4 linked regions of the Schizosaccharomyces pombe genome follow. The protein of the gene in region 1 purifies or fractionates together with the protein of each later gene. This does not show direct contact. Each region holds a gene or a part of one and is shown on either strand. Other genes may lie near its edges.

Region 1 (4,123 bases):
CAATGCCCAAAATTGGATATGGTAACAACAAGAAGACCAGATATTGCATGCCTAATGGTCTCAAAGCTTTCCTTGTTCGCAATGTCTCTGATGTCGAACTTTTGTTGATGCACAACAAGACTTATGCAGCCGAGATTGCTTCCAATGTTTCTGCTCGCAAGCGTGTTGAGATTGTTGAGAAGGCTCGTGCTTTGGGTGTCAAAGTCACGAATGCCGGCGCTAAAGTTCGTTCTCAAGAATAAATTTAAAAAGCTATTCCAATCTCTCATAAAATTTAACATAAGTGGCCATGTAAAATGGGTAAATTCCCAATTTCGTAATAATGTCAAGTAAAATGTGTTGGTAATATAAGTATATTGTTCAGATTATTTGAGTCGTATTCAATTAGAATAAATAGTCTCGTACCTGCATTTACACGATATAAGTAAGTCGCACGTCTATCATCACGTGCAACCTATTATTCAAAACGGCATCTATTGTACTTATATTTTACTTAATTTGCTTTGCCATACTCAATTCAGCAACTTAATATTATTATTTTAGACCCAAGATTACCCTCGTGTATATAGACCCAAATAAACTCTATTCAACCTAGCTTTCCTTATATACACATATAATTTTTTTTTTAACTTTCGATTATTTGACCGATGGGGGATGGCTCGACGCTTGGTTTATACCACACATGACCTTGAAACTCCATAGTACTGGAGTCAGCTTGAGCTTCAATGTTATTTAAACGAACTGAAAATTTATTCAATTCCGTTTTCATTTGTTCTAATGTTATGTCTTCAAACTCTTGTTCGTCCAATATTCGGGAATCAAACATATCGCTGCGGTATTGAAACAAGGGAGAAAACTTATTTTCCAGCTCTTTATCTAGAATTGACAATTCATCAATAATTATCTTAGTGAAGGGATCACTTCTTTGAAGACATATTTCTAAAACGGAAGCCAAATCTGTTTGAGTCACAGATAAAGTACTGGTCCATGGCTGACCTGTATACGCTTCACGCATTAAATAAGCATACCATTTTGCTAAATAGCAACCAGCAGATTCTTTATCGGTTAATTCTTCTTTCTCCTTGAGGTCTAGAAATACCAAAGAATCAACGGTTTGGCTAATCTCTAAAATTTCAGACCACAAGGTTGTAAATAATGCAGGTAAAAAGAATGAATGCTTCGAAGCTATACTTTGTAACAGAGGCAGCCATACATTTTTAAGCTTTGGAAAAAAGCTGATTGGCATAGTTCTGGAGGGTATTAAAACACGCTTTTCCAAGAAACAGCTGACGACAATATCTAGATTTGTAGTCTCTATTGCAAAATCCAAATCTTTTTCATCATCGACGAAAGAAGCTGGGATATAAGGTAACCTCAGATTAGCTGTTGTTACCAACTCCTGTACTAATGCTTCAAATTGTTGAATATAGTCATGTTCCTCTACTGGTAGAAACATATTTGCAGAAACATTAACCTTTCTCCAGGAACGCCATTGTTTCAATAAGTCTTTGACTTTTCTTTTTATTTCGAACTTATGCAATTCATTAGTTTCGGTGTAGTCATATGTATCTTCGGATTCAGCTGTTGCAGCGGGATTCCAGTAGTGATCATAAAGCCATGATAATGCTCGTTGCGCAGCTTGTCTTAAAACAGGTAGAGAAGGAAGTTCTTCATGAGTAATGGCGTGTCTCAATTCGACAAAATAAGTAGGTAAATCAATTGATTTGGCTAAAACAGCCATTGGGATGGCGTACTGCGATTGCTGGATAGGATCCAACAAGCCACTTACAAATCTAGATATTGAAACAGCTAATGCTAGCTTTTGCGATCGGTCATTACTTATTAAAGATGAAACTAATTGCGACGTTGATTCCACTGAATGGGGAATACGACCTCGGGTTGACCAAGCCTGAATAATTTCAACACCTCTAAACAAAGCAGCTAAATCAGGTATTCCTTCTTGTCCTTCATTATAAAAGCAAGACATTAAGTAAAGGAAATCTTCCTTTAATCTCCATGGAACGACTTTCATGTCCATTTTTAAAAACTCATGACAAGTGTTGGTAGTTGGCTAAGCGATACTTTACTTATAGACATCACATACGAGAGGAAAATCCTGTATTAGCTTTTACAGTATATTATTGATACGATTTGGTAAAATTAATTAATTCATGTCTGGATATTTGGTATGCAAAAATGCACTTTGTTAACTATTCATTTCTGTCTCACTAACACTTGTAGTGTCAAACTTTAACTATTTGAAGCACTTTTATCACAAAGTAAATCGATATTTTATGATGGCTAAAATGTTTATAACCGGCAATAATATCTACAAACGAAAGGTGGTAACAGCATTGATATTTGCCTCAACCAGAAGATGTCGTATTTGAAATTGTATGTGAAACGTACGACCGTACGGATTCGTAACACAGATTGAAGGTATTATCAGTATGCAAATTAGGAAACGTGAAAATATTACTTAGACAAATACTGTGTCTGTCAAAATACTTGCGTTCCAATGTTGTATTACTTAATTTTTAAGTTCCAAGTCACCCAAAGAATCCGCAATGCGTTCTTTTTGATTCTTAGTTAAGTCAACTTTCCATTCTGGAAGAACATTTTTAACCTCGTCAGGGCAGTAAGTAGCAGCAAACAAGTTAGCTTCAGGATAACGTTGAGTAGATGTAAGTATATTGACGCATTCCGCTGGTTGATTTGTAAGCCATGAGCAGATGAAAGCTGTATTATTTATCTTTGTGGACTTAGTGAGTTGCGATAACTCTTTGAGACCCTCGTGATTGTTGGTTGCAGTATAAAGTAAAACCAAAGATCCATAATCTTTACCTTTCTCAAAGCATTCCTGAGCTAAAACAAAATCCCAAGCATTCAAGGCAGCATCACCCAAAGAACGCCATTTCAGAGGATCATCTAATTCTTGAGCAATTTGAGAAGCAATATCCAATCGTTGAGCGTCTAATGCAAGTTCAAACCGCTGTACAGAATCACCAGATAACTCTAATGCAGCTTCCTTGTATCCTAAACGGGACAAAAAGTCAGACAAACGAGGACGGTCTGTTTCAGAAATTTGCTCCAAAAGACCTTGAGCAGCCTCTAAATCGCCCTTTAGTACCAGTGATTGATATTCAATAATGGCAAGGTTGAAAGAGTAGCTCACTACATTCATATCACGATCCGTGAGGTAAATACGATCGTCACGTGGAATATAGCCAAGCAAATAAAAACTACTTTCAACGTTAGCGATTTTGTAAGTTTGGTCACCGATCAAGTAGTTTAGGCGAGCGGCAGTAGTTGTGTAAATGAAAGTTTCAGCAACCCATTTGCCATTTACTACGCTTTCAGAAACATCAGCAAGTGCTTCAAAGGAATCAGCAACACCTTCCTCTTCATCTGCTGTACCACTTTCCACAGCACTATAAAACATTTCAGCGTTAAAACCGAGAAGGTAAAAGTCATCATCACAAGCTAAAATTACAAATCTGCCATCATCATTCCAATAAACTCCTTTGGGTTTAACATCAATTTTACGAACTAAAATGCCAGTATCCCAATCATAGAAGCAAATAAAATCACTTCCCACAACTCCCAAGAGAAAGCCGCCAAAAATCTTGTCGCAAGAGTAGGACAAATCTAATCTATTGCTTTCTTTAAAATTCTTGTGAATTACGATTGAACGGTCCGATGTACGACTACCGTAGACATTAGAATCGGCAGACCAAGCAAAATCAAGTGCTTTGCCATAAGCTTTATTCCGCCAAGCAAGAGCTGTATAGACAATATACTCACCATTGCCACATACGGAAACAAATCTTCCATTCGGTGAATGTTTCAAAACAGCAGGATACAATTCCGTAGTACCCAATTCTTTCACAGAAAGACTGATAAGAGAGCCATCTGTAAGATCGCTCTGCTCTTTTGCCGGTCTAATCATAGCGGACATAACTTCATTATAGTTAGACCAAACAACTTTTCCTGATGAATCCATAGTAACAGAAGGCTCGTCACGGCCAAGAGAGAAAGTTATGAGTCCATTGTCAAAACCGACTGTTACCAAGCCATTGTCCTTATTCTGCGCAATGCACCAAGCTCGATCTAAAGAAAAATT
Region 2 (4,976 bases), on another chromosome or scaffold:
AAAAAAGTGTCTTGTACAGATCTTATTGTTAAGCAAAAGTTTTCTACGGTAGTTTTGGGATCTCTGGAGCCTGATATATTCGTAAAATGTGAAGGTGTGGATTTACTCAAGAAAGCTGGAATAGTTGTTATCGAGAAACTGACTTTTCAAGACGATTGCTTACGTGAAGCAGTTCGTGGTCACCCCCCAAAGCACTAATTTTATTAATTTTTTTTATTCTTTAAACATTTAGACGACGTCGCTGGTATATGACTATCAACCCTAAATTATCGTTTTTCTGAGAGACTATTTAGGCCATGCATAGTTCATCATTTTTTTTGATCATTAAATTAAAATAACACGAAATTCCCCACATAATGATTTCTTTTTTCTATGATTTCTAAATCGAAAATAATTTCCTTCTTTGCTTTCTTCACTTACCCTGAGCAAATACCACCTGCGTTGGCCTAAGTGGCTGATTTGTATAAATCTGCTGTTAAAAACTTTTTGGATTTCTTTTTATTTTTGTGTTTTTATAATATTTAATTTGGATTTATCCGTTTTATACTCTGTTTTGTTTTTTTCAGAAAAAAATTTAACTCCCCTTTCAAAATGAATGCAGCCAAATCTTTATCTATTGTTCCATTCTTAGATTGTTTGTCAAGGCTTAAGACTACTCCACGTACTGGCTGGCTATATCATGGCATCGAAAAGCCGGAATCCATTGCCGACCATATGTATAGAATGGGGATTTTGACTATGTTATGTAATGACCCAAGCATCAACAAGGAACGTTGTCTAAAGATTGCCGTAGTGCATGATATGGCTGAGTCAATTGTTGGTGATATAACACCTCACGAGAATGTTTCGAAAGAGGAAAAGCATCGTATGGAGTCGGAAGCGATGGTTTCTATCACCCAGCAACTGATCCCCTTAAACCTTTCCTTACAAGCTGAGGAGATTAAAGAGCTATTTTTAGAGTATGAGTCTGCTTCCACTCCCGAAGCTAAGTTTGTCAAGGACATTGATAAATTTGAAATGATTGCTCAAATGTTTGAGTACGAAAGGAAATTTAATGGTGAGAAAGATTTGTCACAGTTCACTTGGGCCGGTAAATTAATTCAACATCCTCTTGTTAAAGGTTGGCTCAATGATGTGTTACAGGAGCGTGAGCAATTTTGGGCTTCGGTCCGTCAAAAGAAGCTTTAACTGATAAGAAAAGCGATACTTTCCCTGTATTTAAGTGTGCAGTTGAGAGAAACAGTTAAGAAGAAATATTTCTTAGGAATTCGCTCTAGTATCTTCAAGGCCCATTATTCAATATACCAATAGTCTCTCTTTTTTTTTATACATAGATACATTTAATAGAAGTTCAACATTAGAGCTTAGTTTAATGGTGCTATCTTCTGATATGTTTTTACTCTTCAAATGCTTTACTTTTCTAGGTTCTATCATTTACGTTCTCCCAACTTAGCTAAATATAACTTAAATACATCTACGATTAAGTCTTGTTTCTTTATAATTATTCGTTCAATAAAAAATGAATTCTTTACAGCACATTTCAAGAAGTTCATAAAATCACTTTGCTATCTGAATTTTTTTGTAGACTTAAGCTTTGAGGTAATTTACATTCCTTGGTCATTATAAAATACTAATATTGAGTTAAACATTCTCAAGTTTAAAAGGATTTTACTTCTCAAAAATTTTTAACCTTTTCTCCCTAGCAAGACTTTCCTTAACGCACGAGTAGTTCAGAACCTACACCACAAGCTCGAGATTTAGCAAGTAATTTCTTTAAGAAAACGGAAATATTGTTTTTTTGTTACTCCGTTGAATAAAGAAATCTTAGATGAGTGATTTATTAGAACGTGGCTCTCTTCCTCTTGTGAAATCTTGGTTGGCAATAACTTTTGCGAATGAAGAAGACTTACCATTTCAGGTGCCTCAAATAGCGGACATACTGGTACATCAAAAATGTATCGAAAGATTAGGAACGAGTGAAAATGCTCTTTCCGTTCGCAAGAATTGGTGCACGAGTTTAACAAAAATGTTACAATCAAAAGACTTTCGTATTCGCTGGTCAGCTATTATTCTCATTCACTGCACTATTTCTCAAAGTTGGGATTGCTTAGTAGAGCATGGAGCTACTTGGGCAAAACTTTTAATTGCTTTGTTAAACCGACCAGAAACTCCTAAAACATTGGAGATTGCCATGATAACCGTATCAAAAATGTTTAGCTCTACTGTAGGAAGACCAGCAGTTACAAGAGAATTGGTGACTCCTAATTTACCCACATTTGTGAATAATTGCTTACGAATCGCCGAATCTGGGAAGTGTCTTTGTACTGTTTGTTCTTGTTTGTATCAAGGGATCATCTCGCATTCACCTACCTTTCGTCCATTTGTTTCCTCAATAAGGAATATTTGCATTAAAATTTTAGATGGGGAAGAAGTAGTCCCTTCTTCATTACAGAAGAAAGCAGCTGTTCTTTATGCTTCGTTGTATCGATGTGTGGGGAAAGGAAATTTTGAAGACTATTGGAAGCAAAGTATTATTTCAATCCTAAAGGAATATCATCTTACTTTGGATTTTTTGTTTCAATTTGTTATAGAACCGCAAACATACCCAACTCGTGAAGAGAATTTGATGTTTCCAAAACTCAAAGGCCACTACGAAGAAACTTATCAGAAAGCTTTACACAGATGCAGAACTCTAAACTTGATTTTAATTTCTTTTTTAAGTACAAAGACGGATAAAATCGTTTTGCTTCCCATAAATGCTTTGAAGGATTTAATTCAACGTGTTTATACTGTACAACTTTCATTGCCTGTTAAAAGCGTAGAAAGTTCAGTTCAAGCTTTGCTATTCATGGTCCTTCCTCATTTGCATACGCTAGTTAATGAGTTAACCTTAAAGCTTTTTGTGGTAATTCCTCCAGCTATCATTCTTTCATTTGATTCTTACCTGGATTCATTAAATGATTGTTTACTTTCTGAGTCAACACATACTGGGGTTTTATGCTCTTCTTTAAAGTTACTTTCAAAGTTTTTGGATGTGACACATATGAATGTCCCTCTTTCAAAATACGAAAATATTGTAACGCTGGTATTAGAATATCTTGCTAATTCCTCTAAAGGTTTAGCATCCAAATCCATAGAGTTCTCTAAAAATCGTGGGCATTCTCAAAAAAAGCGAAAAACACTTTCTGAAAGTCAAGCAGGAGATACACTTATGAGTTCGGAAGAGTCTCATCAGCTTTATGATTCAGATGTCATGGATTGTTGTTTTTCTTTTTTAGCATCCATTTTGACTCATTCAATAGCATTACCACGTTTATTACGGACCAAAATAGATCTTTGCACCTTGCAGATATCTTTGTCTAACCCTACCTCAACAGTTTTGATATCTATGCATAATTTACTCCTTGCGTCAATTTTATCACCGGGAGATTCACAAGCAGTGATAGTACCTCATGCAATACGTATAATTTCTGGTCCATTAGGGCTTGTACATCCAGATCCTCTGGTCGCTTCACACGCAAGGTCATCGATGCAAACAATAGAATCGCTGATTCATCCTAGGTTCCCACCTTTGCAAAAACATCTTTCACCAAGCGAATTTGAAAATACGTTTGAGTCAAGATTTGAGCCTGTTTCTCTTGAAAACCAATCGCATATTTCTCCACCCCAGGTGGATTCTCAATCAGAGTATAAAGAAAGTAGTATTTTGGCTCCATCAAATCCTCCCTTTGAAACAGAGTCGATTACAGATTCCACTGAAATTGAAGGGATCAAAGAGTCTTTTGCATCTACAGATACAGGCTTACAGAATAATTCTACAGCTACCTCCGAGAACAAAAGAAGCGAATCAGAGCTGACTATGTCTAATGTTCTTTCTAATGAGGGTGACAGAAATGAAGAAGGTAGTGAAATCAACTCTTCTCAACCTTCAACTATTAATCACGGGACTGATCACATTAACATTGTTTCGGAAAACAAGGAAACAACTGTTTCACTGTTGCATGGAGATGTTGAGGTTGAGGAGACTACAAATGTTGCATTAAACAATTCTCAGGACACTGAAACCAAATTTACTGCTATAGACGTTGACTTTGTTGACCGACCTACTAGTGTAGTTTCAAGCCAAATTGAAAACATAAATGGTGATGAAAATGGAAACACAACTTCTTCAGTCGTCGAAACTTTTGAAAAAACAACGGATGTCGTAGATGAGAAAACGACTTCTATTAATGTGGAAGGAAACGGAGAAGATGATGAGGAGGAAGACAATATCTCTTTGCCAAGTATAAACTTGGAATCTGATAGTGATAGTTAGTCTTAATTTATAAAAAGGATTTGGGGGTACTGAATGTTTATTTTAAATTCTATTTCTAGATAAGTAGGTTGTCATTTAATCCAAGCTGATTTTTATAAAGTCCTGTATGTATTATCGTCATGGCAAAAAAGGTACATCAAGCTGATATTTGGAGGTTAAAATCAATTGATTTTGACCTCCAGAATACATTGCTTATGTGTTCTCCTTTTTAATTAGCTAAATTTTCCAGTAATACAAAGTACAAAGTCTTGTGTTATCCGCAAAAATTTTTAATTAATCATTTTTATACCATTGGTGTCACAAAAATCCCGATTATTTTAGAGTTAGACTGTCGTTTATGTTTTTTGAGAAAGAATTAAAACAACTTATCTAGTCTAGTGTTTAAAAGAATTTTATACTGTTTCATTAAGAATAATGAAGATATCCCTTTCCAAAGGCAAAAGAAAAGTCGATAACTATATAATGCAAGCTTCTAAACAAACTTGAATTAGTGATTGCAACATTTCTTTTGCCAACAATATTTAAATCCTTCATTGCTTGACACATGGTTTTATGAGAAAAATTAAGAAAGAACATTAAGTACTTCAAATAAATTTGTTGAAGGATCCAAAATTCTCCAAATAGACTTTTTTTATATGAAGATACCATTCATTCAGCTTTG
Region 3 (6,288 bases), on another chromosome or scaffold:
TGTGCTAAACGTACCCGCAATTTGTTATCTAACGTATAAGGACGCTCTCTTTAAAGATTATGGCAAAGATGAATGGGTATATTTTGGAGTGTGGTGTGCTATTTGCCTGATGATTTTTATTTCTTTATGGTGTAAGTGACACGATAGGTCAATTCTTACGTTCATTCACTAACTCATTAGGCTTCTTTGAAACTTGGACCAGGCAGTGGCACAATGTGTCAAGGTAACTGCGGTCGGCTTGTACAACTCAAGGGAAAAATGGGTTGTAATAATCTGGTTATTATGGGTAGTCATTTGTTTTGTACTCTTTGGTTGCGTCAAATTCGGTAATGTGAACTTAGACAAGACTCTCATCTGTTCTACATGCAGTATTTCAGCTGCTTTACTTTTATTTTTATTATATGGTATGTGAAGTTATGTAGTTACCATTACTGACCGCTAACACGCAGTTCGTCTTCCATTCTGGACACTTAAGCATATGTTTTCTGGGTTTTTTCAAGTTCTAGGTGTACAAAGTTGTGTCGTTATTGTAACGAAAGGTTTGATGCATTTATTTGACAAACATATCGACGGGACAGGCTACGAAATTGTAGCCTCTTCACTCTTTGTTATAGGCAATTTTCTTTTCTTTTACGAAATGGGTTTGTTTAATATTCCTGTAATTTATTCTAATCGTATCAGAATGTCCAGGTGCTCTCAAAAGGATGCCCAAATTTATCAGGAATGGTATAGCTTTTATATTAGGTATGTGTATTCAACCAACTGTATGAATGATTCTTTACTTACCCGATTAGAAGGTGCAGGGAGAGCGATTAGAGGTGCCAACGATAATAATGACATTCCCTTGGGGGAAATGGAAGTTGAAAGCGAAGTCTAATTGCGTTATTAATGTAGTTGTCGCTCCAGTTGGAAAACCTCTTTACCAAAATTACCAACGCAGAGAAGCTGCGGCTTTTTTAAAAATAAGCACCAATTTTCTTTAATCATCCTCTTTCACTATAAGGTTATGGAATATATGCTTAACTTATTCTTTCAATTACCAAAAATTGCCAACCAATGTATTCTACGATGTTGGATAAAGTGCATTGAGGACCGAGTCTTTATTTATTATGTATGCGAGTCTAATTATTTGTCTTTTTTAATGGAACTCAAGTCACAAACAATAATGATTTAAATTGTTTACGACAACTTAAAATCAACTAATGAAATCGAAAAACTCGTTGTTCCGCCTTGTTAAATTCACAATTTCATTGTCGTTATTACGTTCATTTCTCCTTCATCTTGATTCTTAATGAATCAAGCTTAATTATCATTTTTTCTTTTTGTTTAATGGTTCAATTCAAACAAAATTAATGTTTACAAAATAATGAATAGCATAATAAAATATTGTGATTCAGAACGATGGTTTGTTATAGTAATAACCTAAAGACACATTGCAATAGTGAATATCTAATAACGCAGTAAACGTATATACTGGTTTTATGTTGAGTTTCCTAATGATGCATAAGCTGAGTGGGCGATATGACTTTGATTGACACATATTTTGTGGAAATTTTCAATATATAAATCAAAGAGACTAATGATTTATATTCTAATACTTTTATCCACATCGAAAGCAACAGTTCATAACCTAACTGTTGGGTCAACTGATAGAATAAAAAAAACTCGGGTGTTCGTCCCAATTATAATTATCACTACAGTTATAGTCTAAATATCTATTAACTTCAATAACTGATTTTTAACGAGTATTATATTCTTTCCTTTTTTTCAAGGTATAACGATTAATTCTTCATTGTTTCAATATTAATAAGAAGCTACTAGTTAAAGCAAGCTGGTATTATCGTTATGTTACTACCAAAAAAGGAATACCGTGCTGTTACATTTTGTTATAAAAATATACCGTTAATCACTATTTCCCAAATTACAGATATCGTACTTTACTTGGTATTTCCTCTATTTACTCTTTCTCGCTGTGCAATAAGAAGAAAAAATTTTATTATCTGTTTACAAAACATAGCTAAATTTTCTAAATTAACTTTTGTTATTGATTGTTAGTTTATGGTGGATTGTTGTTAATTGAATTAAGATCCAAAGCGCTTGCTTGTTCACATTCGTGTGAATTGCACTTTTAAAAAAAAAAAGGAAAACTTAGTTATTTATTTAATAAGCTTCTACCATAATGGTCAAGCGTCAACGTATTGAGAGCTCAAATGGTAAGTGTCTTAGTTAGTCTTAAGTATTGGCTCTCTTATATCTTTTCTAGGATAATATTCTAACAGTTCTATGACAGTTCCACTCAGTGCATTCGCTGTGCGTCAATTGACTTTAAGTAAAGCAGCCAGAAAGAAAGACAATTCATCGGGGAAAAAGCGCAGCGTTTCGGAAGAAGAAAGCCAAGACAAATATGAAGACGAAATGAAAACTGAAGGCGAATTTCCTTCTTACAAGCACACGCTCGTACAAGTGGTTGTCCCAGGAGTTGATCATAGAACAAAGCTCCATTCAGAGTCATCCAAGAATGATTCTGAAATAACTCCTGATATAAATAGGTCCAAGGTTAATCCTCAGGAATACTCTGAATTCTCAGTTGCTAGTCCTCAAACGATTTCTCCGAGTTTACCTTTAAACTTGGACGACGAAACCGTAAGTGAAAACGTTCCACATAGCCCACAATCGTCTAACGATGCCATTCCGGTGATTAAAATTACGGAAGAAAATTCATTCAGGGTTAAAGATACGCTATACGTTGGATTACATAAAGATCAAAAATTAGCAATGGTTGGTACCTTCATTTTTCGTAGCGTTAGAGGGAAGTTTCAGCTCTTTGGTGCAACCTATTCTTCAGCTTGTATGTCTTGGTTTCCTTTAAATGCTCCGTTAGCATTTGCGACACCAGTATTTTCTGCTATAGACAATGCATTACCTGCTATGCAGATTTCCGAATATGAAGAAGATTCCCTTAACCTTCGTTCCTTTGCAGTTCCCTCTTACTCACCAAAAGAGCATGAATATGAATTAGAGCCCAAAGATATTCTCCCAAATTTTGAAACTGTAATAGCTTTTAGAGAAAATGAAAATGGTCTCTCTAAGATAGCTCGTGTCCTTCCATTTGCAAAGCGTTTGTTTTCTTTTAAGAATCTTTTGCAAGATGCCTCATCAATATCAAATAATTTTGAGATAACTCCGGAGTCTTGGTGTTCTTTTTCTAACCAGTTACTGTTTTCCACTTCCAAGTCAGACTATGTTGTTCCTCGTCTTATGGTTTGTGGACCTAAAGGATCCGGTAAAAGCAGTTTTTCACGATACATCACCAATAGGCTTTTACAGCAGTATCGTCACATTGCATATCTTGACCTCGACCCTGGTCAACCCGAAGTCGTACCTTCTGGGCACATTTCATTATATTATATTAACTCACCATTGCAAGGACCTGTTTTCGCCCGAATGCTCTTTCCTACTTACATGTTACGTTTGCATCTCGGAGATATAAGTCCCCAGAAAGATCCGGATCATTACATTGCTTGTGTTACTCGTCTTTTTGCTGAATATAAAGATTATATTTTTAATCAAGAGATATCCCAAAAGGAGATTATTCCTTTGATAATAAATTGTCCAGGTTGGATCAGAGGGGGTGGTGCTGAGCTTCTTTCTTCTATTGTTGATATATGTCAACCAACAGAAGTTGTATACATGAGTCGTGAAGACATGAAATCAAGTCATCGTGAAAAAAAGAGTATTTACCAGCACAAAGAATATATGCCTGATTTTCTTTCAAGCAGAGATGAGTTTCAACTTACCCTCTTGGAATCAACTTGGCAGTATCTGCCTGATCCCAACGTTAACAAGGTTACCTCTGCTGATAATCGTATGTTAGGCTTACTTTCCTATCTGTATTTCAATTGCAATTTACAGAGGTGGGACTTTACGACAAGTTTGACAGCTTGTCAACCTATAGCCACAGCTTTTAAGGGATCTTCTAAGGGAATAGATGCTGTTAATATTATAGGTGAACCTCTTAATGTTAATGATGTCGCGAAAACTATTAATGGTACTTTAATGGCACTTTATGCCTGCGACACTGCCTCTTTAGATAACAGTAACACACAACGGATTGTTAGTAGTCCTGAAGGGATACCATTAATCATCAATGATGGACTTCCTTTGGATCCCAATACGTCTCATTGCCTAGGTTTAATCGTGCTACGCACTATTGATCTCAAACGTAACGAATTTCATTTTGTTGGTCCTCTTAATCTTGAGCTTATTAAAGATGCCTATGCAAAGAGCTTGAAAATTGTCCTTGAAAGAGGAAGGTTAGAGCTTCCAGTGTACGCAATGTTGGATCACCGTTTAGCACAATACTCGGAATTGCCATACCTCGATCGAAATCACGATCGGGTGGCTGTTGGCGCTCATCGTAGGCGCGTTCGCCGTAACATTATCCGTCGTAGTACTTTCGTTGGATGATACCCAAATCTTATGTTTTACGAATTTCTGAAGACGGCTACGCTTTTTGCATACCTGCTAGAAATTATTTTGGGCAGCTGAATACAAACTATATGAAATATACTTTTTCTTATTTTTTTTTGGCGGTTAAAAAGGACAATAGTGAAATTTATTTATATTTATTGTTTCTTAAGAAAAAATCGTGATTTGAATTTGTTTTAGATTACTCCAATGCAAGTACAATTTACGTTCTTCGGCGAACTGGTCTGGGAACATTGAGTACTATGCTTATTGCGAGACTGCATATCGATGGTTAAGCTCCGATGGTCTTTTGTTGGCAGCAAAAGTTATGCATTAGGATACTTTCATACTTACTGCCATATCACTGGTATGTTGAGTTTTTCTACACTGTATATGCAAATTTATAAGGCATTTGAATTTTCACTATGTTTAAGAATCTACTTTGGTAATTTAGCATATTCTGACTAACGGTTTGAAGCTTGGTTTCGATATTCCGGATTACCGATTGACTATTTTAATTAACTTTTAGAGATGGTTTTGCTGTTGAGTTTTTTTGATTTTATTCAGAGTACATTTTCAATGGTTGTGTATCTGTATGTAATCATTCAACTTTTCAATTTTCCTTTCTCTAAAGGTGAGGAAAATTGGCTATTTTTTTCCACGTTTTGAAAGTGCCATAACATTTGAAGTATAGTATTTGCTTTTTCGTATAAATCCCTTCGAAGGATTCAGCTATGCAAGTGCACTGTTCTAGCAATTGGGGAATGTGATTGTGTGGTTTTCTTTTTTTGATACTGAAATTCTCTCGTATTACTTGATTTCCCAAAAACCAATAGACTATACGAACGACTTGTTGAAAGCAGCGACACGTATGTTTGTATATTAAATACCATTGATAATGAGTCAAGCTGTTTGAAGATGTTGTCAGTAACTTTTCTTTAATGTACACATAATCATATAACAGTTGCTTTGCTTCATCTTGAATTTTTGAGCTCTTGTAAGTTGAAGAACGCTCAAGGTTTGATGATTCCTTTACATAATGCAAATTGGCATATTCCATGTTTATGATGCTTTGCAGACAGTCGACCATTCTACAATAAATTCGATACGTCGCCGAACGTACGCATCGTTTGAGAGATTTGTAGCGCCTGTTTTTGGGCCTGAATAGTCTTTTCGCTATAAAATTGTGCATTTAAAATGGAATCGAGCGGCTGTTAAGAGTGTTGTTTTAAAATTTAAAATATAAAAGAATGTTTAATTGGTAATATTACCAAAGCAATATATCAATTAGTACCTTGACTGATTTATTATTGCAGATGTTTTATATCTTCGTTTGGTAGTGTTGAAGTTTACGTGACTAAAGAAGTTGTTGGTAAATAGTTAAGTGTAAACAATGAAGTGAATAGTATGCATGTGAGTATTACTAGTTTTTTATTTTCATAAAAGCTAAACAGTAAATCTATTAATCATTCATATACTTAATGACTTTAATTGAATCCCCAAAGTCGTTATGATGAACCTAAAATTTGTCAGTTCAGTTAAAAAAGTTGTTTCAAGTTTTTTATAATTGAAAGTAACAACAATAAAAAGATAAAGGTTATTGATATTCAATTAAGTCGATAATTTCTAAATCTCCTACTGCAATCATAATTGCTAGAAGTACGCCTTATTAACACATACTATGGAAACTAAGAGTGAGCATTATAAATTCGATATGACTCTTCTTCATATTTGCTATTGTATCTTGTAGCAATGAGAGAGACATATAGTTAGTGGATGATTTTCTAAAAAATAAGCTCAGAGAACTAAAGTAAATGGTTA
Region 4 (4,206 bases), on another chromosome or scaffold:
TACAATTTGACATCCCCGTAGTAAATCGTTAGTTTCTTTCTCAGTCCATTTTACTCGAGGCTTTCTCACTTTCGTAGGCTTTCTCTCGAATCCTGGAACATCTTGAGCTACCTCCCTTTTAGAGGGATTTTCAGCTGCCAAAATGGACCCATTCAACAAGTCGACAGAATGCTCATCCATAAGATCTGATGAAAACCCTGGAGGTTTCATAGACCTCATGGTCAACTTGATTACAAAAGAGAAGTTACGATATAATTTTTTATGGGGTTTTTGGTTATGTACAAGAAACCTTCAACAATTCCCTAGTGGTGACTCTAATGTACAATTAGATGTTTCAACGCCTATATATATATGCAAATGCCAAGTCAGGAAATCAATAACAAGAAGTTCGTGGCCCCCACATTGGCCACCATAATGTTGAGGTGAGTAAACAAACCAACAATAGGTTAGCTAAAAGACAGTTGATACATCTTTATTTTTTATAAACATAAAAATCTTAAAAAAATACAGGTTATACTGAATAGACATACTCTGAATTGAACTAGCTTAACATTTAATTTTCAAATTCCAGAATGGTAAGATGTTTAAATAACTGACCAGCTTGTACATATAAGCAAAGTAGTAACTAAATGTAGTTAGTATATCAGTTTGGCCTAACGCTAATTCTTAATGCCGTAAGTTTGAAAAATATTAGCTATCTGTTTGTAACTAAGATTCATTTGATGCTTACTGAATAATTCGAATAAATCATGTGTACTTAGCATATGCCTTATTTCAACATTTTACCGTGATGTGGGATCGTGCTGATTTCTCATAGTTTATACACTAGGCAGGAACACCACCACTTCTTAATTCCTGCATCCACACTTTATCCACTTAATTATTGCCAAATTACCTAAATGAAATGATAATAAATGATTTACATTAATAATACTCATCATGGAATCATCACTTGACAGACTCAACTTTGATGAGTTTGTTGCTAAACTGTTAATTCACGAATCTAAAAAAAAGAACAAGTCGTTTGTCGACCATGGCTATATTGAAAAGGAAAAAACAAAACTTCGCCCTAATAAAGTTTTTTTGAATAATATGGTGAGAAATGTTCAATCCCATAATCGTGGAATAAATAATCGGAGACGTGACCAAAAGCGTAAGCAACTCATAAGCATTAAACAAGATAACGATTTAAATGTCTCCTCAGAAAGGTTGTCTAGGAGAATCGATGTTCCTCGGCCCACTAGTAAGAAAAAAAGACTTTATAAAGAAACGCCGGATTTAGATGAACCGGGGTCTCGTGAAAAGCGTGTTAGCCAGAAAGGGCAATTAAAAATTGAGAAAGTTTAATCTTAAATTTTTAATAATGTCTCCCAGAAAATAATAACTATATTTCTTCATTTCTGATTAATCTCTTTGTGTGGTTTCATTTGGGGATTTTATATATCACCACTTGAGCTTATCATTATACATTATACATTTTTATCCAAAAACGAATATCATTTAAAAATATCACGTTCAAATCCTTCAATTCCTATGCCTTTTGATTGAACCGTTTAGTTATTTTTAACAAACTTTAAACGGATGATCCTCATATTGACACCGAAATTTGGCTTAATCTATATTTATACATGCATTAAAATATTGTTACAAATGTTTAAGAATTAAATCAATTCTTCTGTTAGCAATAAAGTAACCTTTTCTTGGTTAATTGAAAAGCATTGCATGAAATCGTGTAGCGAAAATGTAAACATTAAACATATTTACACCACTAAAGTCAGAAATTTTCCAACAGTATAGTCGAAATCAATATACGTTTGATTGGGTACAAATAAAACTAATATAGTTTCCAAACAGCCCATTATATCAATTTGGAAACGTAAATAGCTGACTTAGATAATTTGTCTACAATTATGCTTGCTCTAGAAAATAGAGTAAACAGTCATTTTAACGAAATGCGGTTGAATTCGGTTAATTTAGCAATGTAGTCCAACACGACTTTTCTTGCAAATTTCGCTTTGTTGCTAACATTTCAGTTCAGCGATTTGCGTTTATTCAACACGCATTTCAAGGTTTATGGAGCTGCTTCTTTCTGGCTGTGAAGCTATTGAGGGTGAACCAAGTAATGTTCTATGCCACAATCTACATACCGGTACCCTGGTGAGCACATTCCGTCAAAGCTCACCTGCTAAAAACGCGACATGTACTACTTTGAATCATTTGCTATCTGCTCAACATACCCGTCCACAGCTGAATATTCACAATTTTGGAAAGGTAGGTTCTCTCTGCACTGCATTAGTTGTACGCTTACTTCGTTTATAACAGCAGTTTTACAGCTAATTTCAAGCTAAAGTAGCTAAACACATTTTAAATGAGTAAAACTAATACAAGTGTAGGAAATTTTGGATCAATCAATCATTTTACCTGAAATACTTATTTGTGTGCAATCGAGTCCTTGTGGTTCTTGGCTGGCAGCAGGCACAGAAAAAGGAAATTTGTACATATGGTCATTAAAATCCGGTGCTCTTATTTATTTCTTCAGAGCACACTACCAACCTTTGACCATTTTGAAATTTTCCAATGATGGTATGGTTTTATTCACTGCTTCCAACGATGGTGATGTATTCGCTTGGTTGATAAGCACTTTGGTAGACCAAAACTCTACTTTTGAAACAAGTAATAGTTCAGTTAAAGCGATTTCTCATTTCTCTGGTCATAAGCGTTCTATCGTGTCTATGGAAATTGGCCCTGGTCCCATCGTTAGTGGTCGACTTTACACGGCTTCGGAAGACAACACAATAAGGATTTGGGATGTTTCTACAGGAAACCTTTTGACAACGATTGCTCTTCCCTCAACTCCCAGTTGCATGACCGTGGATCCTTCCGAACGTGTTGTCTACGTTGGTAACGAAAAGGGAATAATATGGATTCCATTATACACAGGATCATCCACTTTTTCTAACAACGTTAAAGAGAAAAAAAGAGTTACGTCTGTTGATAATACTACTATTCCAAACGCCATCGGAGGTATGGGTCGAGTTGTAGATTATAACGACAGTAGAGAATCAAGTATTATATCGTGTCAATCCCCAATAACCACGTTGACTGTTTCCTTTGATGCTTCTCTACTCATTAGTGGTGATAAGGATGGTAATGTTTTGGTTTGGGATAGTGTTTCTCGACAAGTTTTGCGCCGCCTCGTTCAGTATTATTCGCCGGTCTCTTTTCTTCAATGCAAGGTCGACAAGATATCATTTTATTCAAACTCTTCACTTTCTTTTCCAGTTTTAAAGCGCATGATTACAAATGAGTACTTAAATTCAGATGTTCGAATTTGCATTCAAGATGATGGGGTAGAGCAGCTGATGCAACCGGAAAATATTCTCAAAATCAGCTCTGATATTGTCGTATGTCCACTTCTTAAAGATTTTGAACTAACATAATTTTTAGACACAAGGCTCAGAGTCCAGTTGGCGTGCCAAAGCTGAAACCAGTGAAATGCAGCTCAAGGAAGCAAAAAGATTATTTTATGAATTAAAGCAAATTCATCAAGCGTTATGGGAAAAATACCTGCAAAAGTAACTTTTTTTGTTAGGTTAAAAATTTGAATAAAATTATAAGGGATTGGAATAATTACACTTTTGTAGCAACGGGGTTCTAATTGTTGTAGCCCTTTTGTTATAATCTCATTGGAAAATTTTATTAAATATGTTGAATTAATTTTTTATCGTTAACTATTTTGTTCTCTGTCTTCAGCTTTTACTTGTATTAGTGTCGAGAGCAATCATCTCAAGCAAAACATCGCCAATGTAGTCATAGAATTCATCGATATATTTTCCTAACTTGTTAAAATTTTGTTCTAAGTCAAGGTTTCCATACCTGCTGAAAAGTTAGGTATGCCGCTTTCGGTCATTATGCTATTCATTAAATGTCGACAAGGCTCATGTGAAGGGAGATAATTTCGTGCATGCTGAAAGTCTTAGTTATTATTTATTTCCATTTGAAAAGATTATTTTCTCACTTCTATCAGGTAGCTAACATAGTCGGGGTCATGAAGCTCTTCATTAATGCTCATATTCATAATTAAAAGTATAGCTCCCGCTTTGCCAGAAAATTTCTTCCAATTCAAGTCCAAGTAAGAATTCAGCAAATACGATCCATATTCAGAACCCACAAAGTGTATTTTAGTGCTCACTGAATTGGACATTA

What was found.
Region 2: the proteins of las1 (region 1) and rix1 purify together in Schizosaccharomyces pombe (affinity purification with mass spectrometry, with the first as the bait; one study listed by BioGRID). This does not show direct contact.
Region 3: the proteins of las1 (region 1) and grc3 purify together in Schizosaccharomyces pombe (affinity purification with western blotting; one study listed by BioGRID). This does not show direct contact.
Region 4: the proteins of las1 (region 1) and crb3 purify together in Schizosaccharomyces pombe (affinity purification with mass spectrometry; one study listed by BioGRID). This does not show direct contact.

Annotation. Positions count from the first base shown.
Region 1 is NC_003423.3:4,352,038-4,356,160, forward strand, and holds las1 (rixosome complex/ Las1 complex endonuclease Las1), read right to left. Parts: upstream 2,074-4,123; 5' UTR 2,039-2,073; coding exon 626-2,038; 3' UTR 506-625; downstream 1-505. Other genes in the region: rpl3201 (60S ribosomal protein L32), read left to right, coding at 1-242; sec27 (coatomer beta' subunit protein), read right to left, coding at 2,531-4,123. UniProt on the Schizosaccharomyces pombe protein: Required for both pre-rRNA processing and heterochromatic gene silencing.
Region 2 is NC_003421.2:435,276-440,251, reverse strand, and holds rix1 (ribosome biogenesis protein Rix1), read left to right. Parts: upstream 1-1,732; 5' UTR 1,733-1,828; coding exon 1,829-4,315; 3' UTR 4,316-4,448; downstream 4,449-4,976. Other genes in the region: rib2 (bifunctional CMP deaminase family methyltransferase/riboflavin-specific deaminase), read left to right, coding at 1-198; hdd1 (metal-dependent HD domain-containing phosphohydrolase), read left to right, coding at 592-1,188.
Region 3 is NC_003421.2:2,181,628-2,187,915, forward strand, and holds grc3 (polynucleotide kinase Grc3), read left to right. Parts: upstream 1-1,972; 5' UTR 1,973-2,179; coding exon 2,180-2,213; exon of another isoform or gene 2,214-2,290; coding exon 2,291-4,467; 3' UTR 4,468-5,095; coding exon of another isoform or gene 5,096-5,527; 3' UTR 5,528-5,762; downstream 5,763-6,288. Other genes in the region: protein mug128, read right to left, coding at 5,096-5,527. UniProt on the Schizosaccharomyces pombe protein: Polynucleotide 5'-kinase required for both rRNA processing and heterochromatic gene silencing.
Region 4 is NC_003424.3:2,309,759-2,313,964, reverse strand, and holds crb3 (rixosome complex WD repeat subunit Crb3), read left to right. Parts: upstream 1-2,036; 5' UTR 2,037-2,073; coding exon 2,074-2,271; exon of another isoform or gene 2,272-2,393; coding exon 2,394-3,404; exon of another isoform or gene 3,405-3,447; coding exon 3,448-3,579; 3' UTR 3,580-3,694; downstream 3,695-4,206. Other genes in the region: teb1 (Myb family telomere binding protein), read right to left, coding at 4-219; SPOM_SPAC13G7.09C (uncharacterized protein), read left to right, coding at 940-1,347; arb2 (argonaute binding protein 2), read right to left, coding at 3,750-3,835, 3,877-3,967, 4,019-4,206. UniProt on the Schizosaccharomyces pombe protein: Required for both pre-rRNA processing and heterochromatic gene silencing. Component of the RIX1 complex required for processing of ITS2 sequences from 35S pre-rRNA.